Oreochromis niloticus: one gene and its partners. The main gene of each other region encodes a partner of the protein of the gene in region 4 in a complex. Links are inferred from orthologs where the notes say so. Each region holds a gene or a part of one and is shown on either strand. Other genes may lie near its edges.

Region 1 (6,938 bases), on a different chromosome or scaffold from region 4:
TTGCTCAAGATTAACAACTAATCCGTATAGTCCGAAGTGCTGTCCTTATCCCGTCGCAGTGCAGTCCTCTTCGTCTCTCTGACTCTTAAATTTCTACAAAATTTCTACTGCGCCACACACACACAAAAAGCACACACACACCTTGTCACCAGACCAGGAGCATAAATATTTCAGGGCCTGTCGTGTTTAAAATTTAACACTGCACTAGTGCGTGGCTGGACAAACACATACTGCAGATTCACCAAAGTATTCATTTTGAAACCTCCAGCTCTGGAGTTCCTGCCCCAGAACCTTTAAAAAACCAAAAAAAAAAAAACCCAACCCCCCCCCCCCCCCCCCCCCCCCCCACAAAAAAAACCACAAGAAGAATCAGCAAACATGTGTTCACCATGATTTTGATTTAAGTGCAGGAAGCAAAAAAGGTGCACTGTTCAACCACCTGACGACGATATATCTAAGACTTCAACTCTCTATGGTTTCTACTCATTTCACATTTGATTAAGCTACAAACCTTACGAAGTGAGCTCTTAGCTGCCTTACAAAGTTTTTTATTCGCTAACATAGAGCCTAATGTCTGAGCCTACATCCAGAGAAATAGGCCAAAACAGCCTCAACAATCTGACGCATGACTGCGAGTGATGAAGCTTAGTAGGAAAGGAGCCAACGAGTACCCTGGAACCACATGTCACCATATGATTTCATGAACTATTGATCATAGCTCAGAGAAGGGAAAAAGCTCTCATTATCCTGAGGCAAGGCAGCCAGAGCCAATGCATGACAGAGAAGTGGGAGGACAGCAGGGCTTCAGCACTTGTGTTAGTATGTTAATGAACCCAATTAATTATTCACTCTCTTTGCGTCTGTGTGGTCAGCCTGTACCATCTTCCCATCAACACTGGGTTCTTTTAAGTCTGTGCAATGAATTAAACCAACTAAAATAGATTTTCTTTTTTTTAAATGTGGTATTCTCTGAGAAAAAAAAAACGAAAACGAAAACACACACGCTTTCCTTGTACTGTGTAGAACCGAGCAGTCACGGATATATCACTATTAACAAGTATACTGTCTGAGGTTAAAGAACTACAGGTCTAATTCTGGATTAGTCTGATTCTGACTCAGAAAATTAGATCTGTTATTTATGACAAAAGGCTGATCTATTTAGTTCAGCTGTATACTGCTCTGTTTTATACTGCTAAATATCAGCAGCAGTGTACTGGTGGCTACTGAGAGGAAGTTAACAGCAAACTACACCAAGTGAGACGACCCGTATAAAAAGCTTAGACGACTGTGGCTTTGGCTTCTCTTTTTGTTGTTATGTTTGTTGTAACACAACAAGGTGTTGTCATCTATCAATTACTGCTATTTTACTTCCTGCTTCTTACCAGCAACATAACACAGTTGTGTGTGTGTGTGTGGATGTGCACAATATTGACTCTTAGACTGATCTTAAATTAAGCTTACTGTAAATAACTTACAGGATTACCACAAATACGTGGGTTCAATCACTAGTTTAACATCAAACAGAATACACCATAATGTGCATTTTGTAAATTATCCTCATTTAACGAGCATAATTTATAATGTTCTTTGAATGAGCAATGATATTTGAGGGCTTCTAGTTTCCAAATATGAAGATTTGCTCATGTTATTTGTTGTGTATGACAAAAAAAAAAATGATTTTAAGCTTTTGATGGACATAACAAGGACACTGAAGATGTTACTCCTGGTTTCAAGAAACTCTAAATGACGTCAGGAGAACAGAATCAACTTTTGGAGATCCAAATGACAGTCCATTTTTTTTTCTCTTTTAAGCATTTCATAGAAAATACTAAAAGCAGCATTAAATGTTTAGATTCTCAATCAACTGCTCAAGAAATAAACCCAGTTTGGCTGGTTGATGTTAAATAAACAAACAAACACTCCTTTAGCTTATTCGTGGTATGCTCCAATCAAACAATCAATGTTAAAACAATCAATGTGGTCATAATGAGACTGAGGGAAGCACCTCGTGATTATTTTAATTATTAAATAGTCTTATGTTTTTGGTCCATTAATGTTAGAAATTTCAGAAAAGAGCACAACTTGATTGTTTTGTTGAGTACACCTGATATGAGCGGAGGAGGACAGGCCTTGAAATACCAAGGAGCACATGATCACATGAATGCTCTCATTATGACACAACACTGTGTGAGCGTAAACACAAGACGTCTTCAGTCAGACGCCTAAATAAAGCCGACAGCACAATAAAAGCAAGGGAAAGGATGTTTGTCTCTCTTTTTATTCTCTGTTTTTACGTTCCTACATAGCATTACATGATCAGGTGATCAGTTTTTTACATTATCGTCTCCAGGTTGGCAAATTAAGTCAATCACTCTAACGTAATGTCAAACATAAAAGAAAACATACGCAACATCTGAGCATAAGTTGTTTAACCAGGGCGTAAATGTGAGGAAATGTGTCAAACAGGTGGGAATTTAAAGGGGTCGGGGGATAATTATAACAGAACCCAGCGACCCAACCTGCTTCAGTTTGAATAAGCGCCAACACCTGGAAGCCTAGCCTCATATCTTTTAATGTTATGTCACTTCTGCCAGTCAGAGTGCGGCAACATTAAGTGACAGTTCAACTGAAACCGAGCAACCGGAGGACGGGAGGGTTTTGCCAACAGCTAATTTAAAGTCGCATTATCAGAGCAGGTTTATTCAAACCAACCCTATGCCAGTCTTTCCTAGCCACGCAAAGCCACCCAGTCTTAATGTAAAATGATACAGCAGCTAAAGTTAAAGTGGCTAACGTAGCCTGTTAAGGTTACCTGAAACGGGTTGCTGAAGTCCGGGTCCGCGAAAGGGTTGCTGTCGAAATCTGACATTGTCCAAAGAGGACGACTTATTCCGCTAAATGTGTCTTAAGGCTAATATTTATAACCAAAGTCGGCGCACAGTTAAAAAAGACCAACTGTTTCGAACAAATTGTAATAGAAAAGACAAGGGGTGAAGTCAAATGTTGACTGTCCAGGTGGAGGATTGGTCACCAGCAGCGGAACACACGTGACATAACGAGACGTAAGGCGGAAGTAGGGAAACGTCAAAAGAAAAAAAAATCCAAAAAGTTAGTTTTTTAATATAATGTTTTATTTAGAAAGAATTTAACGCTTTACTCGCACTAATTTTTACATTTTGTCATAGAATTGTGACATTTTATCTCCGATTAAATGTCAGGTCGTACATCGACTTATCTAAGTAAAACGAAAGAATTAAAAATATCCCAAAGTTATTTTTAAAAATAATATTACTACTTGGAAAATGTTTGATTTATTTTTTTTTATACCCGCACTCATTTAGGCTTTTTGTCGTAAAGTTGTCATATTTTATTACACAATAGCACAAACTTCAGGTAAACTCACTTTTCCTGAAAATATCCTGGTCTTGGCAAAAATGTTGCTGTTTTGACCTTGTGGACTTTATCGTGATGCTTTGGCTATTCAACATTGTGGCTACATCTATTTTTTTGGCCGTCTTTTTAACTTACAATTATCGGCTTCCGCAGCATATGGGTTTTGTAATAATTTATTGTTAAGAATTTGCAATAGTATAGTCCAGTCTACAAGTGACAAACGCGAGAACTACATTTTTAATAACTTTGAAACGGAGAAAAGACTCAATTTGAGGGTCTCTTCTAGTTGCGATAGATCTATGACCTCTCTGCCTCTGAATCCCTGTCATGTGACGCTCACTTGTCCAACTCACACTTCCGCTACTGCGTGTAAAAAGTTGGGTGATACATTAAAGAAGTTCGCTTTTGCAGGAACTTTAGCGTCAACCTTAAGTTAACATTATCACCAACTTTATGAACATTTCATAGCTCGTAAGAAAAGGCGAGTAAGTTTTCTGTGTCGGCCGTTTGTCTTAAAGCTTAGCATGTCGACGGGAGCCTCATACAACGACCAAGGAGGAGCGGAGGCTGCGGTGGAAGCGGGTCAAGAGAGCACCCCGACCTCCTCGAGCACCGGAGCTGCCTTCGGACTTTTCAGCGCCGACTTTAAAAAGTAAGCTAGCCCAGCATGTGTTCCTTTTGTCGTCACGGTGGTTGGTTTATGGCACAGTTGGGTTGTTTTTGTTGAACTCCATATGGCTAATTTCCAGTGTCGTAGTCTTGAAAAGAGGCCAGTAGCATCCACAGGCAGGGCAATGGTGGCAAATGACGGTTAGCGGTTTATAGCTGATGGTAGTACCCAGTATCAGAGTTATAACTTTTCAGGACTTAATCAGATCCGTAGTAGTGTATTTTAATACAGGCACTTTCCCCAGGGAGGGGAAATGGTTCCTGGGTGCAGACATAGAAGCAGCCCCCTGTCTCTTCTGCAGTAAGCAAAGTTGAGCGATAAAATGGGAAGACGTGGCTTGGACGTGTTTTGGGTTTGTGGTCACTGAGCTTTCCACTTTCTGGTTGGTTTGTCCAGTTGCTTTGCATCTCTCTGTGTGCTCAAGGTGTACTTGTCTTGCCTGTTTTTTGCTGTTATTTTTTCCATCTCGTGGTTGTTTTTCATATTGTAGTGTACAATTTTTGTCACATGTTTTGTCATTTTTGCGATCATTTTTTTTTTTACCATCTCCACCTGATTACTTTGTATTTTACTGTGATTATGAATTTTGGTGGCCCTTTTGTGTATTCATCTCTGTCCGCTCAATGCGTGTGGCTTTGTGATTGTTTGGGTTAGTTCAGTAAGGCTCTAGTCATTGCAATCACTGCACAGGGAGAGCTTGATAAAAGATCAACTGCAGTGGCTTCATCACAGAATCTTCAGATACCGTCATTTATTGTGAAACAGCATAAAGTGCTTGCACGTTTTTAAGCGGATGCTACACACTTCCCTGTTAAAAGGGACGCCCTCCTCCCCACTGTCGCCAAGTGGGTGGTTATAGTGGAACACCTGATCGTTGGAGTTCTCTTCCAAATCTTTCAAAGGTTTTTTACCACTTTAGAGTTTAAAGCACTTTAGGATGACATCTGCTGTGTGTGCTGGTTATAAATGAGCGAGCGCTGGGACACACGTGTAGTCCTGTTGCTGCAGGTGGATTGTGCTGACCCTATTACACAGTGGTCAAAAGGCTTAAAGAAAATGTAGAAAACTTCATTTTTTTAATGCTCATTAAAGCTGCTGTTATTCAGCTCTAAGCAAGTAAAGGAAGCCTTGGAAAGATAAGTTTGCTGCATTTCTTGTCTGTACTTTTTTTTTTTTTTTTTTTTTACCTCTTTCTGTCTCAACCTTTATAAAACTGTAGCATATGAGAATCTTTCCATGTTTGATCTACAGTTCAGTTTACTGCTGTATTAACTGCTTTTTTAAAAACCATTGTTTTCCAAATGTCAGTTATCAGTCTATACTGGGCCTGTTGACTCGTCAACAAATAAGATGGCCTTTTACTTATATCGTTGATCTTTAACTGTTGGATCAGTTTTGTGCTGCATAATGCATAGTTTATACTAATGCTGTAAATCTATGTAGAGCCTATGATGTAGCCCACATAACTGCCCCATTTGCAAACATTTATTCCTGTGCTGAGAGTAAATTATCAAATATGGAATGATGACAAAATGAAAAGTTTAAAAATGTATTTTTTATCATGAGAATTTCTTTGTTTTCTTGGCAGAAAAAAGCGCAATAACTAGCAAAACATAATATACCACCAAAAAAAGGAAATACATACTGACCCAGAATTTGACAGTCAGTACATTTCTTTGTAAGACCAGCAAATGGAGAAATGCTAATAAGTTGCCTTCATAAGCTTGTAATAAAACTGAAAGTGGGTTGTTTGTTGTGTTGCTCATGTATTTTAAGTTCCATGTCTGCATTCTACCACTAGAGGGCAGCCAATAACCAGTTTAATCATCTTTTGACTTTGGGAATTTCTTGCAAATTCTGTGACTATGCATCTCAGTTGTTCTAGTGTAACAGTCTGTGTTTGAAGGTACATACACAGGGTACCAGATTCTCTGGTCTAGACTTCACTGCAGTACTTAAAATCTGAGGAACTCAAACTTGATTTAGACTTACGCATTAAGCCTACGTCCTTGAGATGTAACCGGAAACCCCTCTTAACCCTACACTGCATCTAGTACGCTTTAGTAAATTTCCTACTAAAGCATATGTCAGGCCTCAGTCTGTTAGTAAGTTCCATGCATTCATAAAAGTGTTGGGTCACAGTTCAGCTGCTGATTTGATTTTAAGCTTTTCCTGCAGGAACCGTCCTCATGTATCTATTTGCTTTTCATGACTGATGTAGATCTTGGTTTTCTGAAATGTTTCTTATTAAGTTGAAATAAACCTTAACACTGTCTCACATGATCATCTACCCAGTTGGGGGAGGTTTGGTCATGTGTTTGGCCACCTCAGGGCCAAGCTGAGGGACCAGAAGAATATGCAAGGGCTTGAATGATCCTTCTGTTTGTATGTCTGTCGGACACAATTCACAATGACCAAGTCTGTGAATCCAAAAGGCATTTTGTGCTAGTGCATAGATCTATGTCTCATATTAGTGCTGCACGCAAGGCTTGTCAACTTCACCATGTCCATGCTTGGAGAATACATTGCATATTTGGTCATTAATGTTTTAATAGCTGAGGATAGAGTCAGTTCTTTTAAAATTAGATCCAATTTGGAAGTTTAGTTGAAATTACTCAATGTGTGTTGCACGTGATGAGAGATGTAACTTTGCTCTAATATGTTCTAGTGTTTAAAGGGCGCTTGTTTCTGTTTGAGAGCTCTGTGCTAGGGTTCAACAAATCATAGAAACATATGACTAATTTATTATCTGTGACCTAAGAGATGTCTCACTGTGGCCGAGCAGTTTGGTTGTATAGACTTATTGTATTTCTCTGTGTTGAAAGCAGTCACAAAAAATAAAAGGAATGATGGATTTAAATGGAATTATACTATT
Region 2 (7,757 bases), on a different chromosome or scaffold from region 4:
TATCTCCAGCTCCATGGAAGAGAGAGAAATCCCTTCTTCCTTGCCTGGGCTTCAAGACACAGAGTCAGATAGTTTGATGAATGACATTTCCCCGCAACCTGCTTTTCAATGTGGGAATATGAATGGAGAACATGGATGTTCTCCTCCTGAAGGGGGGATGATAGATCAACAGGATCCTCTTGGTTGGACCACACAGCCTGAAGGAGATGTTCCACTGGAAAATCACCAGCCCGACTTACCTTATGACATGGAAAATGGTGACGGGAGTGTTGACCTCCCAGGCCCTGAGGATTGTCCATCATCTCTGCCCCTTCCCCTCTCTGAGGACTGCTCCTTCCAGGATTCCTCAAGTGAAAACTCTTCCATGTGCTTCAGCTTGAGCGAATCCCGCTCAGAGTCCCCTCCACCAAATTTGCCCTTGACTAACGGGGACGCTGATGGAGAAATGCTGGAGACTAAGAAAGGGCCAAAGAGAGCAAACAGGCTTGACCCAATCCCTAAGCACAAACTGGGGGGCCGGTTCAGGCCTCGCACTGACAACAGGCCCGAAAACGGCCCCTCGCGCATACCCACCCCCGTCAGCTACAGAGACCTGCAGGCGAACAACACTCTGTCCCCCTGCCACACCCCACCGCTGTCTCCTCAGAGCTCCCATCCTACCAGTCGCCAAGCCACATGCAAGGGCCTGCACCAGGCCTTCGCTGATATGATCCATCCTCATCCTCGTTCCTCAGCCATGGGCAACAAAGACTGCGCCTACCCTACACAGTCAGGCAGCGTGGACACTGAAGCTTGGATGTAGCACAAAACGAAACTGTGGGTAGTACACGGGAGGGGGTTGTTGTCATGAACTTTAACTACTGTGTTTAAAAAAGAGAAAACAAAAAACCCAACAAGATAAAAACGGGCTACAGACAGTTTTTACTGCATGTCAAACGCTCCTTTTTTTCTCCATTTAGGTTCTCCCCTGAATAACTGCAGGGCTTCACATTGCTTTTTTTGCACTCAAGCCAAATTATTTATTACCAAAGGAATGGTCTTTATGTTACTGTAATTTTTAATTTTAATGTGTGCATGGGGATGCTTTTGCCAATCTTTTATTTTTTTTATAAGTCACTAGTGAAATTCTCACAGTTGATACACAGAAATAGAAAGAGAGAGCATATGTGCTGCCATGTGCCTCACTAAGGGGGCATGGTAAAGTGCCAGGGCTTTAAAGCTGCAAGTCTAGAAACGATGTAAACACTAGTCCTTGAGTCATGCAGACTGGCTCCCTCTTGTGGTTTGCCATAGCACTTCTGCTTGCCTTATAGTGAAAATACTGGCATGATGACTGTGATGTTTTCAGTCTGTCCACATTAGTGGTATTCATATATGACTCACTATACTCACATTACAGTAATCAGTAACATAGACTAAGGTACACCCATCTCTGGCTCTATGAACATTATGCACACTACCAGTTTCTGTACAGTTGTTTCATGTTATTATTTAACAGTGTCAGCTTTTCATAATAATAAGCTGTTCTAGACAAGATAGATGCTTTTTGTTTGAATGCTTAATGTCTTACCGGTTTTTAAGATTTTGTTTAATGCAGTAAAATTTTAAAAAGTTTAATTTAAATGCATTGAGTGTACAACAAAAATATGAGGAGCATGGGGGAAGGTTATATTACTTTATATAGTTGTCGCTGACATTTTAAATATTGAGTTCCTCCTCTGACCAAACTGTACTCTGGAATTAAATGCTAAGGAGAATGAATGTGTAAATACATGCTGAGAGTGGGTATTTTGTAAAGACAAGGCTTGGAATATACAGTCTAATGTACATATTCACTGTATTCAGTTCTTAGCTATGCAATACTGGTGTTGAAAATGCCTTGAAAATTCCCTTTGCCTTAAACAATTTTTCACAGGTTACATTTTTTTTTTAAATGTTTTTAGCTAAACATCACTAAAATCTGTTAGGTAACACTACATTGCCATCTTTAACTGTTTATAATAATTAGAAAGTTTGGGTGTGAATGTGAAGGAGAAAAAAAAAAGCATTACCAGCCAGTTTCATTTATAAGTTATACCCGAGGTGGATGTGCAAATAATGAAAACCATATATATGATGTATTTCCTCTGAATTCCCTCGGTTGTTTATCGCCTATTTAACAGATGGATTTCAATAATGTGGCGCAATTTATGGTGACATCTAGTGGCAAAAAAAGAGAGAAATGTTTTATTCAGTGGTAGAAAATGTTGTTTTGATATGATACTGAAATGTCCTGGTGCTGATTAGAGCCAATAATGGTCTGGTATGACATGGTAAGGTTTGATAGATGAAGACTGACTGGCTTTAACTCGAGTGTCTGCATGTGTGCAGGGGTGCATGAATAATGGATGCTGTAACTGGATACTGAGCCTACTTTGTGAAGCTCTCACACAATTGTCATCAATATGACAAGCCAGACTCCAGCTACAGAGCCTACATTACTAGCTTTTTGGTATTTAGCATGTGTTGAAGGGTGTAAAGTTGGAAAGCGGTATACTGTTTAGTGGGCTCCAGAAACCATAGAATCTCAAGAGCTTCTGGATTTGAGCGAAGGAAAAACTGATATTAATATTTAATGATTGTTTCCCACACAATGTGGAGGCAAGGAAAAGAAAATGTTGATAAAATTGTTTTTGCTGGACACCAACAGAGCATGGCCTGGGAAAGGAGAGTGTGTATATCTTTGTGTACATACTGTATGGGAATATGTACAGATTTGAAGTAAAGAGGGAAGTAGTGCTGGTCTAATTTATTTATTTATGAAATCATCTTTCATGGGCTCAAGTGACATCTGTTTCCCAAGTTCGAGACGACAGACAGAATCAGTGGAAATGTTGTCAGTTAAAAATGAGAGTGATTTGAAGGCAAAGTGAACTTATTTATGTGTCCCATCTCTTAAAGATACAGTAATTTTATCATGCGCTGACTCCTCACTGCTACAAATGATTCATGATGTATCAGTATTGTTAAAGCGACATTGATTGCAATATGTAGCCAGTGGGCAGTTTAGCGTGTATAAACACATTATAACATGTACTCTTAATTCTTTTCATTTTACATTTGTTTTGGCTTGTTCGAACACGTATTTGGTGTTTTAAATGTACAGGCTAACTGAGCCATGACTTCTACAATCTTAAAACGATTGATTGTCCTAATCCGCTCTTTCTGCCTACACGGGATTTTATGAAACGCTCATTCCTCCGTATCCCCAATCAGCGAAATCCGAATGTTTGTGATCAGATGCCATTTTCACTAAAACTTTGGTTAAATGTACAGATTGCTTGACATTGTGGAATTTTTGTGTATGAAATAGCAATACTGCAATGTTTCACTTTTTTTTTCTGAATTTGAAAATGCTGTCAAGTTGTTCTTGTAATAAATCTTTTGCTCTGAAGCTTACGATGATGCTCTGGTCATTTTTTCATGTGTAGCTTTTGGCACAGCAGTGACTGGATTTTCTGTGCTACAGCGCATGTTAGAGAAAAGCAAAGAAGTGCTTCTGTTATTCTTCATGCACAGTGTTACTCACTATATTTTTGTACATAATAAATAATTTGTTGCATAAGTAAGACACGACTAAATATGGCAATGCGTCCTGCAGATTTTGCTTTGTGAAGTTCAAAATGGAGTTAAAATGCTGCAGTTGTTTCTCCTCACAATGTGCTTGGAAGGTTCAATTTTTATTACTATTTATTTGGATAAAATAATTCAGCTAATCCCTACATAGTCTTATATAATTATAGATTCAAAAATATTGTAAACTTGTGACGTTTTTGTATTAAACTTTTGTTATAGCAAACCTTCCAGTGTTTAGTCAGTCTGGAAATTAGAGCCCTAGGAGCTAGAGCCCATCCCAGCTGTCATAGGGCAAGAGGCACAGATAACCATTCACACCAAGAATTTAAAATCACCAGTTAACTTGACAAGTCTTTAGACTATAGTACCCAGGGAGAGAATGCAGACCATTCAGAGATGACTGGACAGCAGGACCTTTTTGCTGTCATGCAACAGTGGACCAAAGTGCTATCTTTTTGTAGAAATTAGTATTTGGTAATCCTCATTTAACGCCTCATTTATGCACATAAACACTTGCTATTTCAATACAGTATAAACGGATACACAAAACACTGGCATAATATTATCAGTTGAAGGGTTTAGGCCATAGATTTTATTTATTGTATTTAGGTAGTGTTTTATCAGCTTCCTAATAAACTCAAAACTGGGTCTCACTTTATTTACACATCCTTTGCTCTTACGATAACTGTCTGAATTATTTATTTAGTGAAAGTGAATATTTAGTTACCTACTCTGTATGTAGATTTAAGTAGCCGGATTGGAGCTGAAAAGAAAAGCGCACAGCGTTGACAGAGTTCCTGAATTTCTTTGTCTCATTATGACCAGCCCTGTATGAATGAGAGCTGACGTTGCCTGCCTGTTGTTATTTTGTTAAAAGACGGAAGTAAATCAAGTAGGAGGGGACGAAGGCCATCACAGTAACTGCTACGCTTGTCACGGTAAGATATTTGTGCTTGCTGAATTCACTGTATGGCGAGTTTAATTTTAACGCCAGAAGGTACGCTAATTCGTTGAGTAAGGTCTTAATTACACCGACAGATTAAGAGCTTAACTATCCCGGCAAAGGCTTCCTTAAGTCCCTACTTAGAAGGTCATGTCTCAGCTTTGCTAGCCAGAGAAGTGGTCAGGCGCTAGCTGACACTGACAGGCACACTGCACCAGGCTGCTATCCTTTAGCATTAGCTTCATTCATCTACTCTAACTGCTGCAAACATGCAGGAGTGGGCAAATCAGTTATGCGTGAGTAGTGGATTGAAATGCACTGTTAAATGCGCAACTATCGGCTGCAATTTAGCTCATTTTGGGTTAACTACTCAACTAAGTGTGCCTCCTTTCGTACACACTCGAGCCAGCTATGCTAATGCTGCTCTAGCCTAATGCTAGCCAGCTAGAGAACATTTTCTCAACTTTGTGTTTTAGCTAGCGGTATAAGTTAACGACAGCTTTTGTTAAATACTTATGTTGTAAGATCAGAAGCTACGTAAGAGTACACGAGAGTTTCGGTGTGAATTTAGCTCGGTAGCAGTGTGCTTTATCGTACAAACGGATCGTAATCGGCTAACGTATTGCTAACTACGTCGACAGTTGGGTTCGGTTTTGGTTAACTTGTGGCTAGTTAGCGACTTGTCGGATGTCGACTGGTACCTGAAACCCGGTGCTCTAGTTAATGTGTATTTCAGTACCATTAATAACAAGTTAGCATGTCAGTCTAACAGAATTCATTCATAAATGTAGACGTATTTTAAAGAGACTAAAGGGTTATTTTGCGGAATATTGTGAAGGAAATTTCTCTCTGTCTTTCTGTGTTCTACCATTTGACTGAACTGAATGTAAGTTCGATTAATGAAATCTTTATGGGTTTGTTTATTCACTGCAGAAGTATTTTTACATATTTGTAACACAGTAATAATAGATATTCAGTGCATAGTCAAGGAAATACTAACTTTTTTCTATATCAGAAAGACTTTAAAGAGACAAATTCCACATAATGTTGGTATGAACAAGCCATATATATGTTAAACATATACACTGCTGTCCAGTGAAGCTACTAGGTGTAGGTGGTTGAGTTTAAATACCTGACGCCAACCTAAACATTGGCCAGTGCTTAAGAAAGGTGAAGAGGATGGTGCAGGCAGGGTGGAATGGGTGTAGTTGAGATGTCAGGGCTGATTAGTGACAGAAGTACTACAGGAAGAGTGTATGGTGGGACTGACAAACAGGCAGGAGGCCAAGCTAAAGGTGGCAGAATTAAACGTGGCTTTTCATTTAGATTGACCAGGATGGATAAGATTAGTAAAGAGTACATCAGAGGGACAGCTCAGGTCGAGCAGCTTGGAGTCAAAAGTTAGAAGGCTGAGGTGATGTGGATGCATTGGGAAAAGGATGTTGAATATGAAGCTTCCAGGCAGGATGAACAGACGGAGACTATAGACAAGGTTTATGGATGGAGTGTGTGACAGGAGGATACTAGGGATTGGGTGAGATGGAGGCAGATGATCTGTTGTGGAGACCTCCTAAAAACGACCAGCTGTCCATGAGCCAAAAATGTCAAAATTTCATGTAAAAACACAGGTTTTATTTTTCCAATAGTATTTTAATATTTTACAGTTTTCTCTGAAATCTGTCAAGCAGGCATCTTTGTACCTTAAACTTAAAAAAAATAAAAATAAAATGAAATGGTGCCTTGAGGGCAACGGGATGAGGAAGTATAGCTAATGATACCCAAAAGAAAACATTGAATGTTGGCTGACAAGAGTTATTGTTGGCCCCATACGTGCTGACCAAGATTATTATTATAATTTTTTTTTAAAGAGGAGATATTAGTGTCTGATTTCTTAACAGAATCCATTGTTTTGATTTCCGATAGATCCCTACCATTTGTTCAGGAGAAGACAGGAATTCCTTTTATTTCCCTGTGCTTGCATTTCTAGTATTTCCTGTTGTTCTCGTGATGCTCCAAGTTTCCAGTCAGGAAAAGATTTCGCTATCATCTTTCTCATCCTGTCATTCGTTTGCAGGAGAATCGACAATTTGGATCCAAGATGACGGACTCCAAGTACTTCACCACTACTAAGAAAGGTTTGAAACTTTGTTCTTTAGAAGATTTAACATGGTAAACTCCTTAGTGTGAGATTATAATTATTGTTGTTGGTACCTACACATTATATTTATGCGAGTGCTTTGGGATTTATTGTCATTGTGAGCTGGGCTGTGCCAAATTATTATTTTTACCAAAGGGGACCTAACCTTTTCCCAGGTTGTTAAAGTAATTAATAGATGTTTTTTTTTTTCTCTCTGATAAAACTAAAGTTTTGTAGATTCCCAGTAAAATGATTTGGCATGTATTTACTAACTTCAACTCTATGAAGCCAAGCACATTTACTTGTTTCAAGAGCATGCATATTCTGGTAGAACTAGCAATGTTACCGAACTATAAGTTAGATGTAAGTAAGGAAAAAACAAACAAAACAAAAAAAATGTACCTAAAGATGTCATCTGACAGCTTTGTATCAAAGTTGTTCCCAAGAACAAGAGCTTTGGCTTTTGTATATCAGATAAGACGTAGTGAGAATTAGCTCTCAGTGAGATAACTGCTAGGCCTCCTTGTATTTCAGCAGCTCCCCTCACACAATGTTGCCCTGGGAAAGCCTAGAAGCCCTCTTTGTTCTCACACACAGGGCTTAAGAAATATAAACAGATGCTTGTAAATGATAGTGTACCAGACTCCTTGGTTTTTAAGGATTACCTGAGACATAAGAACAAGTTTCCTTCAAAATGTTCCCCCCTGTGGATCTGCCTAATGCTGTGTTGTGCAGTGTGGAGCTCACATGCAAAAGAGACTTTGAGTATTAATTTGCCTGGGAAATACTTAAGTCTGCAGATTCAAATTTAAGCTTATAATTTGCAGTTTGCTTGCAGTGTGTAGTTTGTACCCTAATTAGGCAGCTGAGTTAGACTGCAATAAAAACTAAATTAAACGTGATTCTCAAAGATTCTCAAATTAAAAAAATAAAAATATTCTGTGTACAATTCAACACAAATGGGCAAACACACTCCTTTTGTGGTTATATTTGACACACACTGTATACACTCTGCTTTAATAACACTGTGTTCTTTACTGGCTTTGTGTTTACACAAAGTCC
Region 3 (7,804 bases), on a different chromosome or scaffold from region 4:
GCACTGACGATAGAGAAATTCATGTTTGTATCTGATCCACTATCAGAGCGGAGCGTATTGTCGCTGACCTAAGCTAATAGGCCAGTTTTGGGTTAGACTGAGTCACAGCCAGACAAGCACAATATGGCTCTGCTGTGCGGGTGACTATTTATTAAATGTGGCACTTCATATGATACGCTTGTCTGAGCCTGGATCCAAAGTCAGCTACAATGGCTACAGGCAATTAACAAGGGAGAATCAGCAAGATCTACATTTGCAATTCATCACTGCATTTAACACCCACATAAATAACTAATATGTGCTTCTGTCTAATGACTAAGTCGCCCCTAGGGATGAGGAGAAGGGACCAGAGACAACTCTAATCGATAAGGGATTTAGTCAAATCTGAGTCAATCATTGATAAGAGGATTGGGACCATAACAACTCAGACAGTGAGCGAAATCCAGTGATAACTGCTAGGATGATTGCGTGTTGAGAAATACATATGCACAAGAGCAAACGGCTTCTGTTACCAAGACTGCAACAATTTATTTCACAGTGAGCTTTTTCACATGAATTGCTGCCTACTCACAAAGCTTAATGCTTCCAGAACAAAAGCCGACTCTATCTGCATGTGTGTGCGTGCGTGTGTGTGCGTGGTTAAGTAAAAGCAAGGACAGATGCACTTGCTGTTTGCCAAAGCTGTGTTTTGCAGCACTCTAACTTCAGGTCAGCCTTGAGTTTGGGGGGAAAAAAACTCTCTTCGAGACCAAGCAGCCGACAGTTCAGAGCGAGGAAGAAAAGAAAAACACACTTTTAGCAAACAGTGGGTGGATTTTCATCCAGAAATGCTTCTCTTGTCTAGAAAGTTCAGATCTTTATGAAAAAAATAAGACTCTCCTGCCTGGACCCAAGTTTTCCTCAGCATACTACTATGCAACTCCTACAGGATTCACATTTAAGACGGAGATCAGTGCACGAATCATCCTCTCTGCAGGCAGAATCATACACAGCATGATGAAATACACACCTTGAGCACTTATCGCTCCACTCATAATCCTCCAGCACTCAGCATATTTCCTCATGGTGGTGTATTAACACATCCCATCTTAGGTTCAGTCCCATTACTGCGAGGATTATCTCTGATGGCTAAAAAAGCTGATGCTTCGTACAGCCTGTCATCATGTCGGCCTATGAATGTTCTGCCACTCTTAGCTATCACGCAGACTGTGGTCATTACTATAATTTAGAGCCACTTGGACAAGATTATTGACATTCATTACAGGCGGAAGATAAAGCCAGCAGAAGAGGCCCGTGTATTCGAGGAGAACTTACTTTCGGCGCAAGGTGGAACTGGTGTTGGTGTCTGTGCTGTCAGTGCGTTCAAGTCGGTCTGTGGTGGAGGAGCCGCAGGAGAGACCTCGCGTCAGCCTGGTGTGGGTCCTCCTCTCCCTGCCGGGCGCTGGAGTTGTAGCTGATCCGGATATCACCTGAGTTGTTGAGGTGCTACCATTCCCGCTGCCACCGCTGCCACCAGCACCGCTGCCATGATGGATGGGCAGGGACAGGGGCTGGTTGTGGTTGTAGTTTTGCTCGGGTGTGTCCGTTCCAGGGGTACGCGGGCTGCGTTCCTGCCTCAGGTCCTGGTTCTCTTGGCTGACCCGGTCTAGCTGGCCCTCCAGTTCCTCGATGCGCCTGCGCTGCGTCTCCAGGAGCTTGGCCTGGCTCTCGATGATGTTGTTGAGCTCCAGGAGGTACTCCACTGCCCGGTTTGGGCTCTCTGGGCTGGTATCCATGGTGGGAGCCCTTCCTCTCAGGGTACAACCACCACCAGCCACAGGTTATACCCCGTGGGGCCGAGATCCACCCTCCCCACCAGCCCTGATGAGTTGGGGGGAGGGAGGGACCAAGAAAGGCTGTGGTGAAGATTAACTATAGGCTTCAGATGTTCAGAAACAGGAAGTCACAGATATTAAGATATTGAGAATGTCATAGCGACTACATATCCCCAAACATGAGGGCAAAATTTACCATTATAACATCTTAGTAGCCATTGAAAACGTCACAAAGCCAAGAAGAGAATTTGAAGCTAAAAAAAAAGTTCATGGCACTGTTGAGTGTCTGAGTTCGTGAAGTCCCAGTCATTTTGAAATCGACACGTAGCAGGTAAAGAGTTTGGGGCGTCATGGTTAATGTTAATTTACTAAATAAAATGTTTAAAAACAGACTTCCAGGCGGAGGGAGTGACACACATAAGTCTGGTCTAATTTAAGCTTTTCAGAGTTTGATAATGAACTTGCTTCGATGATTGACAGAGAAAAAGAATAAGTAGAATATGAATTTATCCACTGACCTGTGACATACACTGCTCATTAACTTTAAAAGCTCTGGCATCAGCTTTTGGTTAATTAAAAAAAACACACTTTATGTTTTCATCGATATACAGGGGGAAAGGGGGTGGGGGAGAGGGGGGATACGCTAGTTTTGATCTACCACTAATTATTAGGCGCTGTCAATCATTACATAACACAGAAAATTCTGCTCCTTCCCACGTTGAATATCCCCGCAGTCTGTCATCGTCGCTTTCAACCCATGATTTGATGTGTCTTTAAAGCACAGAGAGTGAGCAGAGGTGGTTTACGAAGTTCATTCTTGAAGTCCGAATCCTCCCCTTTGGTCCGCCAAAACTACATCCCGTTATTAAAAAAACACAACAAAACAAAACAAAAAATCAAACTAGATCCCAAAGTATCTGTCTCGTCTTTTCATCCAAGAAAAATGCACTTTACCTCCTCGTCATGCACTCATAAATACTGATCTTCAAGATAAAACTTGTCACCTCTTAAAGGCTAAAACCTAACCGCAAGATTCTGCTGTCCTAAAGTCTTAATGGCTGTTTTTAATCTTAAAACTGTACTTTTGTTTTTGCCGCTTGCGGAAAAAAATCTGAAATTGGTCGAAAAGATAAGGGAGCGTCCTTTCCTACTTATCTGACTCTCAGTGGCAGCAGGTCGGTAATCCATGCAGGAGTAGCGCTGAGTCTCCTTTGAGGTGGCGCAGAAACAGAGAGGATTTCGCTCCTTGCGCGTCTGAACCGCAGCGTTGCGTGCGCCTTTTCCTCTGGAGCGCATCACAGACAAGCAGGCGAAAATAAGGAAGTAACTTCCGGGCAAGGTTTTCAAAATAAAGGACTAACTGTCGAGAATAAAGTACTGACTTAGGGTGAAAATCAGTTGATTTGTGGGCAAAAACAAACATGAATTATTAAAAAAGGCGCAAATTAATAAATTAAGATGTCCTGAGTGTATAAGCTACACAGCGCTGATTTTCATACAAGATCACAACAAACAAATGAAACAGTCGATGCAATGGCTAAATATTTCCACAACTTCCACAACTAATAAGCACTGATTAAAAATATATTAAAGGTTGAGCTACCAAACTGTGTAAACTAAAAATCTATCTATTGCTTAAAAAAATGTAAAATAAAAATTTACGCATCACACAGTCAGTTAAACTTGATGGATTTCAAACTGTCCACTTATGAAACATATTATGGATCCATTTCACCTGCCGTAATGGAAATGAAAGTGCCAGAGGTGCACTGCAGAGGCCAAACCCCCCAAAAAGGAAAAGATTTTGCTGATGGTGGTCACAGCACATTCCTCTCTCTTCGTCTCTCCTGACGGATTTGACTCTAGTTTAGGGTTTTGCCAGTGTCGGATGGTAGCATAAGATGGTACCTGCAGATCGTTTAGGGCAGGGGTCTGCAACCTTTTACACCCAAAGAGCCATTTGGACCCGGTTTCCACGCAAAAGAAAACACTGGGAGCCGCAAATACTTTTTGACATCTAAAATGAAGATAACATTGTATATATTGTTTTTTATCTTTATGCTTTGTGTGAACAACTAAGGTGTGCTGCTTATGAAATCCATGAAGTGCTACAGAGAAAATTAAATTATATTTATGTAATCAACACATTTTGAACTCTTAAAGAAATATAACAAAAGGAAAGACACCCAGCTGAACTAAAATGATCCATGTAGCAAACAAAAACTGTTGTCAGCCGCCAACCTTATATCGCCTTTGGGCTGTTGGAGCCTTGACCTGACTCTTAAAAAAATAATTGGAAAAAAGCTCTATGCTGCTGAAAAATGAAAAATAGATATTTGCAAAATTCTGCCTAAATATGTATTTTACCTGGTTAATGCGTGCGGTGGGGCGTGGTTTGCAGCGCCGCTGCAGGGGAGGCGGACGCACCTGCGACACCCGCAATCACGCCTCGCTGCCTTTACGTCTGCGCTGTCTGTGCTGTTGTGTTGTTGGTGGTGATGTCGGGCTGTGAGCTGAAAAGCTACAGCCGGCTGTATGCGTACAGCAACCGTGTGTGAAAAGTGCTCAATAAAGAGATGCTCAAAAGCATGCTCATGGAAACATCGTCGGGTCTGCCGTGATTTGTTTACAATGGGACTTCTGCTCCTGAACCTCTGCGCACAGAGTCCGCAAATCGGGGCTATACGAAGTCAGTTTACGCAGGACTGTAAGCGGTCATCTGTCAGGCGTGAGCGGTGTTTGTCTTTAACATAGTTCACGGTGGAGAACAGCTGCTGACATAATGTGGATCCGAAGATCCATAATTGGCCTACCTGGGGTTGAAAGTCTCGATAAATGCACGGCGTTTAGGCGGGTATACCGGCTTCCGCCAGCGTGACGCTCATATTGAGCGATGAATAAATAATAGAATATAATTTTATTTTTATATTTCAATGTCACAATAATCTTCCAATTTAGAACTACGAGTTAAAAAGAACTAACATAAATAAAATACACTTCAGCTAAATACTTCTAATTTATTTGCCCAAACCACGCGGAGCCGCACTATAAGGACTAAAGAGCCGCATGCGGCTCCGGAGCCGCAGGTTGCCGACCCCTGGTTTAGGGTTTTGCCAGTGTCGGATGGTAGCATAAGATGGTACCTGCAGATCATTCAGGTTTCAAAGCTCCTGCAGCAAAGTATGTAAAAATCCCCTATATGTAAATGGAGTCAACAAAATATCCACAAAAAAACGTTAAAACTGTTTATTGTATCTTGTAAGAAAACAAAGACAATATTTTAGGTATAAATGAGACAAAACGAAGTTCCACAAAATAAATACAAAATAAATATAGAAATAAATAAATACAGGGAAAAAAAATAATACAAGCTTTCCTAAGAGTTAGGAGGGCAACTGGGGGGGGAGGGGGCAAGGCTCTACAGCCCTTGTTTGCTGTCTCTTTCACAGTCTCAAGACTGTGGAAGAGATAACCAGGAATTTTCTGATTCTATAAGGAGAGCTGGACAGGGCCGTAGAAGGACTTCAACGCAGCAGAAGGACCAGTATCTGCTCCTTTGTTTGAGGAACATGAGGGGGAGCACTGCCTGCGGCCTATAAAATGACCTCCAGTGGACTATTCGCGTTTGTTTCAGATCAAACTGTCAAAAGCAATTTTTACGAGGGTGACATGAGAATCTGATATCCTTCACCCAGCCCAGCACCATGTTATACTGTAATGATTGAGCGTTGCTTTCAAATTTCTAAGCAGTATTATGCACATGCCTTCAAAAAGGTTTTCTTTCTTTGCAGTAGATAGAGAAAGAAATTTTCTTTGGGTCGGTTAATTGTCTTCTGCAGGAATCTGAATGACTAGTCCAGCTGGTAAATAATACGTCTGTCATTCTTGGTCATTATTTCAGTCTTTTGAGACAAACGCGCGCAACTTAAGAGCTAATTAATTATCTCTAAACCAGGATATCTCAGCATACTAACGACCCATTTCATCCAAAAGCGACACCTTTATTCATACCTCTACAGTGTGCAGCACAAAGAAAATGGCATTCATTTTTCCCCTCAAATCGCACAGGTCCTATTACATTTGTCAGATAGTGAATTTAGGAATGCAGTTTTCAACAAAGAAGCGCAAAGAAGACATTTTATATTGAAAATACTGCGAGAATCTCATTTTCCGTCTTTGTAGCTTTACGCATTCCAGGAACCCTGTTGAGCGCCTGAATCCGTGGTGTCCAGGTACGAAAACAGTATTGTGTTGCAGTATTGCACTGCAACACAATGCACGTAAAACATGCCTCTGTCGTGTCAAATATCTCCCTGTTATAACATTTGAAATGCTATATTTGAAGTCGTGATTTAATCCACTTCTATAAGACAATCTCCTGCAGCTGAAGTCAAAGCAGCGCTGTTATTACTGCCGTTTTTTTCTTTTCTTTTTTTCCATTTTGCATCTGAGCTGATTTGAACAGAAGGATGCGGCTTAGGACAACACGAGAGAAAGACAGGCCTCAGAGCGCTGTTATTTTTAGTGTCAGTGCTTAAGTGCTCATATCTAAGCTAAGACTCTGTAAATTCACCCGCGTCTCTCCCTGCACAGCAGCTTGGACAGGTGAGGTTGCCTCACTGTACAGTTAATACTCCACTGAGGAGTGAGGCTGTATGCAAAATGCATGCTCTCGCAAAAAGCTGGATAAATGATTGATCTGCGGGAAATGCTGAGATTTCAGCCTCTTCGTGGATCTCATTCACCACTAGTTAAAGAGTTTACATCTGATTTATTAACAGACATCTCACCCACATATTGCATCTGAATATCAGACTGCATTTCCCCCTTCTCTCTCTTTCACACACACCTTCATCTTGTGAAATCCCACTTCACATAAAAATACTGTTGTCTATGTTTTTGCTGCCATCTGCTGTCCATTATGTGGACCGAGGAAAGGAAAACCATCATGACTACAGAGGAAATTGGTTCAGCAGTTTATTTGCAGTTTTATTAGTGTGTTTACAGTTCAGCCATACTTAGGAAATGAAAGAAAAAAAAAGAATATTGCCAAACATTCATTTATTTATTTTTATATATATATATATATATATATATATATGTATAAATATAAATAAAAAGTCTTATATATAGGCTACCTAGCAACACTGTATGGCCGTTGGAGGGAGAATACAGTATGTCCGTTTGGCTGCTGTAATGCCTTTCTGCAAACAAACAGACAGGGAACACCACGCTTTTTATTTCTCTGCTTTGTTCCTCTGGGTACAAATGGAGGAATGACGTCACTTATGGCATCAACCTTTAAATGATTATGGAGTGCTAACAAATAACAGCTGTAACAGTCTGTGTCTCCAAATGCCACCGTAGAGAACCAACGTAATATTGCTTTAACATTTAAATAACATTAATCCATTGTGTGTGTTTACCAAAATGGCGTGAAGTGACTGTAGCTTTTCCTCCTAATGGCTTATCAAGAAAACCTGAGTATATCAAAAAAGATAATTTCATAGAAAAATAACATCTCACAGTATCCATTCAACTTGGCTTCTGTTTTTTTTCCCCTCAACAGAATATAAAAAAAAAAGAGAGAGAGCAAAAGAAAACGATGTGCTAATTTGTCACCTCAGATGCAACACCGAGCTCAGATTCTGCAGATGATTTTTTTTTTTAAATATATTTTTGTGGGGCCTTTTTTGGCATGACTTAAATGACTAAACAGCCCACACACTTCTGGTATGAGAGACCTCAGAGCAAAGGTTTTCACAGTCAGAAAAATCAGTGGTTAGGATAAAGTGGTTTATGTTACCAAGGCAACTGTACGTGGCACGATGGGCACAGCACTCTTTAGAATCTAGATAGTGGTTTTGTACTGACCCCACATACACAATATTTAACAGTACTTGAAATATGCACGCACCTGATGCATATTTTGGCATCTTTTGCTGACTTCTGAAGTAGGGTACGACACAGAGCATTCTAATCCACACTCA
Region 4 (6,961 bases):
CATCATAAAAAACTGAAGTGTCGTGTCTTTTTTTTTTTTTTTTTTTTTTTTTTTAAAACGTTTCTTGGGGAGAGGCTAGACCATTAAGGACATCAGACTAGATTGAGATGGTCCGCAGGTCTAATTTTGCATAGAACCTTAATCTTTTTTGCCTGGAAAAATAACGGAAAGAACAATTTTCTGTCACCTTAATCATGAAATCATTAACCAATACTCGGCTCTCTAGCCCAAACACAACTTTCCTTGTTTGCTGCAGAAGAAAATTCTGTAGTCAGACATGCTGTTTGTTTAATGATGCTGCGTCTTAGATCATCACTGAAATGATTCACACATTCAATTTCACACTTGGGTGCTCAGTATGTGGAAGGTGACGTTCATCTAATGCATGCAGGGAAACCACAGGAGCACTGGTGGCAGTGCAGCAAATAAGGTGGCTTCAATCACAATTAATTTCTGAAGATTAAAGACACCACAAAATGTTCAACTTAGTTTGCTTACAAGCCGGATCATGAGTGGCAAACACAAGACAGCATAGGCCTATACATTCTGATGAGTTACACATCAGGAAACAGTAGAGGAGTCACACAATACGCCCTTTGAGAATGGAACAATGGCATGTGAGTCATTGGTCTCTTTAATATCCTCTATGCACCAACGAGGCCACCTACGGGCAGTAATGCTCACTGACACAACTGCCAGCTAAGATAATGCCACTGCACACCCCCTTTCACCTCACCTTGAGTGTTCTGGAAGTAGTGGCGCCACAGCGGCCTGATTTTGTCCTGACCGCCCACATCCCAAACTGTGAAGCTGATGTTCTTGTATTCTACAGTTTCAACATTAAAACCTGCGAAAAGGAAAGGGAAAAAAAAAGAAAAAAAAAAGGAGAGGAAACAGATGAGTCACTAAAAGGCTTTGGACCACTCGACAGCAAACACTACACGCAGGTAAAGATTTCTACGATTTATTATTTTTTTTATTTTTTTTTCCACTGTTTGTTCCTAATATGACTTTATTTTTAAAGTCAACATTTCATGACTGCATTTTAATCAAGAAACGGTCTTCAGTTACTCTCATTTTATCACTTATTCTTTGTTAAACCATTGTTAAAATGAAATGGTCCAGAAAATCTGAAATAAGGAAACATCTGGTTGCTGTAGATCAAAACGCATTAAACTTGGACACACACACACACACACAAAAAAAATTACCTTAACTGCTTAAAGCTACAAAATGATTGGTCACCCAGTGGACTGGTAATGGCATTCACCTGCTTTTGTGGCCAATATTTACCACATCACTTCTGGTTAAGTTTTTTTTTTTAAACAGACTTTAAAATAGATCCATTAATTTTAATTATGATTTAATTACTTGCCCTGAAACAAAGTAAGAAGTAAATAGCAATAAAAAAAAGAAAAGAAAATCCAAAAAGTAGATATATTAGTCATGACCCTAAATTTCGTAACAGTGTATCCCTTGTAATTAAAACAAATTAACAGTCAGATGTTTAAAAGACCTGAAGATCTGGTGAACAGGATTTTTTTTTGTCCTCTCTAATAACAATGGGAAATAACTAATAACATCTTCTCAAAGCAGTCTAAAAATACAGCTTCTTTACAATAATGACAGTGGAGTGATAGATGTAAATGTCCATACCAATGGTGGGAATGGTGGTGACTATCTCTCCGAGTTTGAGTTTATATAGGATAGTTGTTTTTCCAGCCGCATCCAGCCCCACCATTAGAATCCTCATTTCTTTTTTGCCAAACAGGCCTTTGAATAAGCTCGCAAATACATTCCCCATGGTGATGAAGCTGTCAAAGCAGAGACGGAGACAGGGTTAAGGCAGTGTACGGTCTGCTGTTAATCTGTTTCAGTGCAGTATGGTGAGAGGCAGTGAATACAGGGAAAATGTATCAGAGAAAACAGCTGACATCTGGACTGATTTACCATCGTTTTATCGTTAGTCAGTTCATAGAGGTACACCACATTAGAGCAGTTCGATGACAGCTGTATATTTAGTCGAAAAAACGAGGTACATTGTGAGACACACGGAGGAGAACAAGTTAAATGTTTACACAAGCGAATGACTGAGGCTTTCGTCTACGACTCTAAGTTAAGAGCTAACTCTGGCCGACCAACATCAGCCATTAACTTCTACACTACAGAAGTGTTAAAACTTCCTATGTGTCAATTATTTAACAGCAGAAAAATCGCATATCCTGAGGCTAAGCTGTACAACCGTGGATAAAGCGAATAGCTAACTGATGAAAAGATAAGAGAGGCCTGTTCCAGCTAGAAAACTCTGCAATAGCCGGTTAGGATAATGTTTCTGTACGAGTGAGCCGTCACAAGACGCTAGCTTTCAACCATAAGGTCAACCTAAGTTAATGTAAAGTTCATATCAGTATGTGTCAATAAAGGCTGAAACGTTGTGCTATGTGAACGCGCAGATTTTCTGTGTAAAGTCTGAAGTTTTCTCTCTTTACCTGGTTACCAGCACTCGAAACAGGATACAGTTCGCTTCACTAAGGGCGGATGCTTCAGCCAGATAGCTAGTTTTCCTAGCATATGCTAACTTGCGACGAGCAGGCGACACCGTTCGTCTACGGTCTACTGACCACTGTCGGTTACAGTATATATTATTAATAAATCTAACGATGACCTGCTACGAAATCCACCTGCAAAACTGAGGCCTGGTTTCTTAGGCGTGAACATTAAAAGATCTGATACACGATAGCTCGCTAAGCTAACAGCCGTTAGCTAAATGCCGCGTCACAGTTGAGAAAGAACCTCGTGACGTCATGCTCAGGCGAAACTAAATCGAATCGCTGGTACCGTGCGACAATCGCCGTACAATAAATGGCGTTACAGCAAAAAAAACAAGCGAGTTTATGTGGGTTATTACCTTTAAAACGACAGCTTCTCGATCTTTCCGTTATCTCTCACTGTCACCCCAAAATGGCGTCTTGCGCAACCAGGGAGACACCGGCGTACGGCAACTTCCCACTATCACACCGCGTCCAATCGTAGCACGCATGGTGTAACGGATAACCCGCCCAGATGTCTCCGCGGTCCAATCAGCGTGTCGGCAGAGCCTTGTGCGCACAGTGCACAAAATGTCGAGGAAGTGAGCCGTACACAAGTTTATTCAAGTTTCAGACACTGAGAACCGGGCCCTCAGAGTTTTTCTTTTTCTTTTCCTTTTTTTTAACCGACGAGAAATGACTACAGGGAAACAGAAATCGGCCACAAAAGAGACAAATAATGATAATTAAATAAAGAAATCCACACATAAACACAAGGACTATAGGGAGTCAAAAAACAAAACACGGAAATGCAACATTAGAAAAATCTGTTTCTAGTTTATTGTTTTTCCTGTATTTTATGTTTGCCTACGGTCATTTCGATTTACTTTTTGATCGTTTTTCTTCTCTATTGATGTTTAATTTTTTTAATTACTTTTAAGCACATTTTCTGAGTAAAACCTAGTGATCACTGGGGTCACCGAAGGCCTCTCCAGGACTCTCTCCAATTGTATGAGGGAGGTGGAGGGTTCTACCATTTATTTGTGTTTAGAGGCCCCTTTTTCCATGCCGGGACTCAAGATCCTGGCTGATCCCAACTTTTAGGCCTTACTTTCCATCTCGTTCCTCATAATCTGATTAATTGCATTTCTTTGAAGACTTGTACCAGTGAAATCCTCCCTGTGGACTCACTTGAAGAGATATGCTGAAATTTCTTTTTAGATCCTCACTTATTTTAATTGTGTTAATTCAAATTGCTGACACAGAAATGCTATCTATTATATGATTAGTGCAAGGCTGCAGGTTCTCATGACTAAATTCATTGTCTGCGGGTCTCACAACCACTGTCTTTAATCATTTATGGTTTATGACTTTTAGAATGGTAATTAATCACACTTGTCAGCAGCTAACAGCACCTGATGTCTGCAATTATTATTGGCTGTGTTTGCTATCAGAGGATCCAGAAGCTTCACATTCCTCAAGCACCAAGCTGGAAATGTGAGGCCTTATTGTAGACTGTATACAAAAGATGGATGTAGTCATCGTAATCACCCATTGGGTAGTGAAGCGCTGGTGACTCAAGATGAGTGTTTTGTTTTTGCTGTTGCCATCTTGGTATTTTGAAAAAAGTGGACACCACAGGCCAACAATTGCCATCTTATGATTAACAAGTCATGAGCCAAAGAGGAAACTTCATGTTGTTTTTTAGTATGACTTAAAATTAGCAGATTGTGCTCACAAGCTTAGCACAACCAGCTAAGAGTTTACTGAGGGCACAGATCAAGGAAGGAAAAACTTCTGGAAGTGTGTTTGCATTAAAGGAGTCGCCCCCTGCTGGTCGTTAGAAAGAATGCATATTTAAGGCGCTTCCATGTCAACTACACTTTCTGGAAGGTGCATATATCTTTTTACACTTGGTGGGCCTTACAGCAGCAATAGATTAAAAAAAAAGTCTAATAATAAATTATCAAGCCTCTTTTATTTGTAGTTTAAAGGGTTTGTAATATAACTAAAAAAATTGGGACTTTGTAGTGACCTTTACATCAGTGAGTCAGTTTGAATTTTCTGCAAAAAAGTTTAAAGATGGCTGTGCTCGTTCATGGGAACCTTGTTTGAATACCACTCTTCTGTTCACAGCATTAACAGCGAGATCATCAGCTAACCTTTGGGTAGAAAATGGAGTCTGTTAATTAGTAATGTCAAAAACCAGTTAACACCACACAAGGACAAAAAGCAAGCACTGGTCTGGCTTTTGATAGCACTTTTGCTATTGATGTCAATGAGAAGGAAGCTAAGGTTAGCCAGCTAGTTGCTATAGTCATAAAGAGTGTCACATGTAGTTACTTTTCATTTAATAACATGAATCTCTCTTCAGTGGGAACCTAGCTGAACTATTTCAAATACAAATAATGCAAAATTGTATATTTCATGCCCAGATGGAAAAATGTTTATATCTGATATTTATCAAATACAGTTTACACTGTACAAAAACAATTTGTGTAAGATCAATACCTATATTACAATTAATGTATGAACAGGATCAGGCTGAAGCAAACGTTTTCATACACCTTCCTGGTCACATGCAACACATGTAACAGCCTCACGTGTTTAACATCATCTGTTTTTATAGGGCTGGGCCTCTTTATCAGTGCTGTCAATGTTTACAGTGTGCAACAGGTCTAATCCTGGTCTTTCTCAAATGACACCGAGTCAGAAACGACTGGGAAAGGCAATAGCTGGAAATGAGCAGAAGACAGCAACTTTTGTGCCTCTGAGTCATTTTTTTATTAGAATATAAAATATCAGTTACATTCAAGTACCAAGAGATTCCAGTCTTGTGATATATTGTGGAAAACACATCATTTTAGGCAGCTTCATGCCATTTAAACTCTAAAATGAAACAGATGACATGACAAACTCTTTCTTCCACATCAGAAAGTAAACAGAGATACAAAGAACGGATTTTTTTGTTCCTAGTGATCCATAAAAGGAAAGAACAAGCAGGAGAACGGAAAGAGGGAAACAATCTTAACACACAAAATAAAAAAATACAGATGTCACAACCTATTACAGCTCTACCAACACCATTTCCTATTCAAGCAGGTTTACCCCCTTGGAGTGTAAACTACTTGTATCATTACTTAAAACATATAGAAACAGTTTAACCTGAAAATAGACATTTTAAGATTTCTTTTATTTGTACACTCAAGTAGCACTTTATTAGGAACACCTGCTTGTGCTAGTAGTTATTCAGTTAGCCAATCACGTGGCACCAGTGCAGCAGAAACTCTGAAGCTTCATTTACAGTGCCGTGCTGAATGGTTGACCATAATGTTTGCTTTTATTCTCGTTCCTCTGCTTTGTTCTGCTAACACCAGTGAAAACAGAGATGATCCTGTCAGAGCTCAACGTTCAGATGTGAACAACACTTTGCTGAAATGAAGGAAAGAGGTGAGCGTGACAAAACTGACAGAGTTATTAAAACGAGGAAATCAACATATCTCCACATATTAGCTGTTGTATTTGCATATTGAGCAAGCTAGGTACAATAAATCCTTCTTACATTTTCCATCCATCCATTCGCTTCCGCTTATCCTTTTCAGGGTCACGGGGGGCGCTGGAGCCTATCCCAGCTGTCATAGGGCGAGAGGCGGGGTACGCCCTGGACAGGTCGCCAGTCTGTCGCAGGGCTAACATACAGGGACAGACAACCATTCGCACTCACATTCACTCGCACATTTACACCTAGTGGCAATTTGGATTATCCAATTAACCTATCCCCACAAGCTGCATGTCTTTGGACGGTGGGAGGAAGCCGGAGTACCCGGAGAGAACCCACGCAAACACGGGGAGAACATGCAAACTCCACACAGAAAGACCCCGGCCTGATGGTGGAATTGAACTCAGGACCTTCTTGCTGTGCGGCAACAGTGCTAACCACCGTGCCCCTTCTTACATTTTATTTTGCAGAAATATTACTCCTGTGCTCATCAATATATTATGTTTCACACTACAGACCTAACACGGGGGCTGAGGTCTGGATTCCTACAATGTGTTGTTGGATTTCTGGTAAGGAGCAGCTCAGGCTGGGCGCAGGTTATGACACTGGTTTAACACAGCAGTATAAGCTAAGTACCGGGGTTTGGTAAGGTAACGGACATGTAACTAGTTATTAAGTACAAATTAGAGATTATTTTTGCAATTGATTCGGTTTGTTTGTGTATCTTTGCCAGCTGTGGGACTTCAAAGTGGTTATCATTTCAGGTCTGGATCTGGGAGATTTTGAAGGGATCCTTTACCATTATTTGAAGGATTGGATATTTTGTGTTACATCTACAAAAATACGTAAAAATATCACACTAAAAGAAAAAAATGAGAAATTGTGTTGGGATTCCTTGAGGAAAAAAACAAAACAAAACACGGATCCTGTTCAT

The links.
Region 1: the proteins of arf2b (region 4) and ap3b1a are in contact, whole or in part, in a cryo-EM structure (PDB 9C5B), measured with the Homo sapiens proteins. The link is inferred for Oreochromis niloticus from reciprocal best matches to the Homo sapiens genes ARF1 and AP3B1. Residues at the interface, in NP_001019397.1 of Homo sapiens: Glu17, Arg19, Tyr35, Ile46, Pro47, Thr48, Ile49, Gly50, Phe51, Asn52, Val53, Glu54, Lys73, Ile74, Leu77, His80, Tyr81, Asn84; in NP_003655.3 of Homo sapiens: Glu52, Asn54, Pro81, Val84, Lys85, Val87, Ala88, Asp111, Leu112, Leu114, Leu115, Ile117, Ser118, Thr119, Gln121, Arg122.
Region 2: the proteins of arf2b (region 4) and ap1b1 are in contact, whole or in part, in a cryo-EM structure (PDB 7R4H), measured with the Homo sapiens proteins. The link is inferred for Oreochromis niloticus from reciprocal best matches to the Homo sapiens genes ARF1 and AP1B1. Residues at the interface, in NP_001019397.1 of Homo sapiens: Glu17, Met18, Tyr35, Ile46, Thr48, Ile49, Gly50, Phe51, Asn52, Val53, Glu54, Thr64, Trp66, Lys73, Leu77, Arg79, His80, Tyr81, Gln83, Asn84; in NP_001118.3 of Homo sapiens: Asn23, Asp25, Pro52, Asp53, Val55, Asn56, Met58, Gln59, Met83, Ile85, Met86, Ala87, Val88, Asn89, Thr90, Val92, Lys93, Tyr121.
Region 3: the proteins of arf2b (region 4) and iqsec2b are in contact, whole or in part, in a crystal structure (PDB 6FAE), measured with the Homo sapiens proteins. The link is inferred for Oreochromis niloticus from reciprocal best matches to the Homo sapiens genes ARF1 and IQSEC2. Residues at the interface, in NP_001019397.1 of Homo sapiens: Arg19, Gly24, Leu25, Asp26, Ala27, Lys30, Thr31, Ile46, Pro47, Thr48, Ile49, Gly50, Phe51, Asn52, Val53, Glu54, Thr55, Thr64, Trp66, Asp67, Val68, Gly69, Gly70, Gln71, Lys73, Ile74, Pro76, Leu77, Trp78, His80; in NP_001104595.1 of Homo sapiens: Arg810, Gln811, Gln841, Arg845, Val846, Gln847, Gly848, Glu849, Ala850, Gln851, Val853, Glu854, Glu858, Asp879, Phe882, Ile883, Phe886, Ala887, Ile889, Leu890, Asn892, Thr893, Asp894, Tyr896, Ser897, Pro898, Ser899, Val900, Arg904, Met906.

What each region holds. Positions count from the first base shown.
Region 1 is NC_031972.2:12,628,634-12,635,571, reverse strand, and holds the start of ap3b1a (AP-3 complex subunit beta-1), read left to right. Parts: upstream 1-3,907; 5' UTR 3,908-3,917; coding exon of another isoform or gene 3,918-4,045; intron 4,046-6,938. Other genes in the region: secretory carrier-associated membrane protein 1, read right to left, coding at 2,813-2,869. UniProt on the Homo sapiens protein: Subunit of non-clathrin- and clathrin-associated adaptor protein complex 3 (AP-3) that plays a role in protein sorting in the late-Golgi/trans-Golgi network (TGN) and/or endosomes.
Region 2 is NC_031977.2:18,689,349-18,697,105, forward strand, and holds the start of ap1b1 (AP-1 complex subunit beta-1), read left to right. Parts: upstream 1-4,726; 5' UTR 4,727-4,827; coding exon 4,828-4,854; intron 4,855-5,421; exon of another isoform or gene 5,422-5,444; intron 5,445-6,632; coding exon 6,633-6,693; intron 6,694-7,757. Other genes in the region: gas2l1 (GAS2-like protein 1), read left to right, coding at 1-802. UniProt on the Homo sapiens protein: Subunit of clathrin-associated adaptor protein complex 1 that plays a role in protein sorting in the late-Golgi/trans-Golgi network (TGN) and/or endosomes.
Region 3 is NC_031984.2:10,742,410-10,750,213, reverse strand, and holds the start of iqsec2b (IQ motif and SEC7 domain-containing protein 1), read right to left. Parts: upstream 3,107-7,804; 5' UTR 1,776-3,106; coding exon 1,315-1,775; intron 1-1,314. UniProt on the Homo sapiens protein: Is a guanine nucleotide exchange factor for the ARF GTP-binding proteins.
Region 4 is NC_031973.2:4,379,986-4,386,946, forward strand, and holds the start of arf2b (ARF GTPase 2b), read right to left. Parts: upstream 3,063-6,961; 5' UTR 2,909-3,062; intron 1,815-2,908; 5' UTR 1,805-1,814; coding exon 1,657-1,804; intron 848-1,656; coding exon 737-847; intron 1-736. UniProt on the Homo sapiens protein: Small GTPase involved in protein trafficking between different compartments. Modulates vesicle budding and uncoating within the Golgi complex. In its GTP-bound form, triggers the recruitment of coatomer proteins to the Golgi membrane.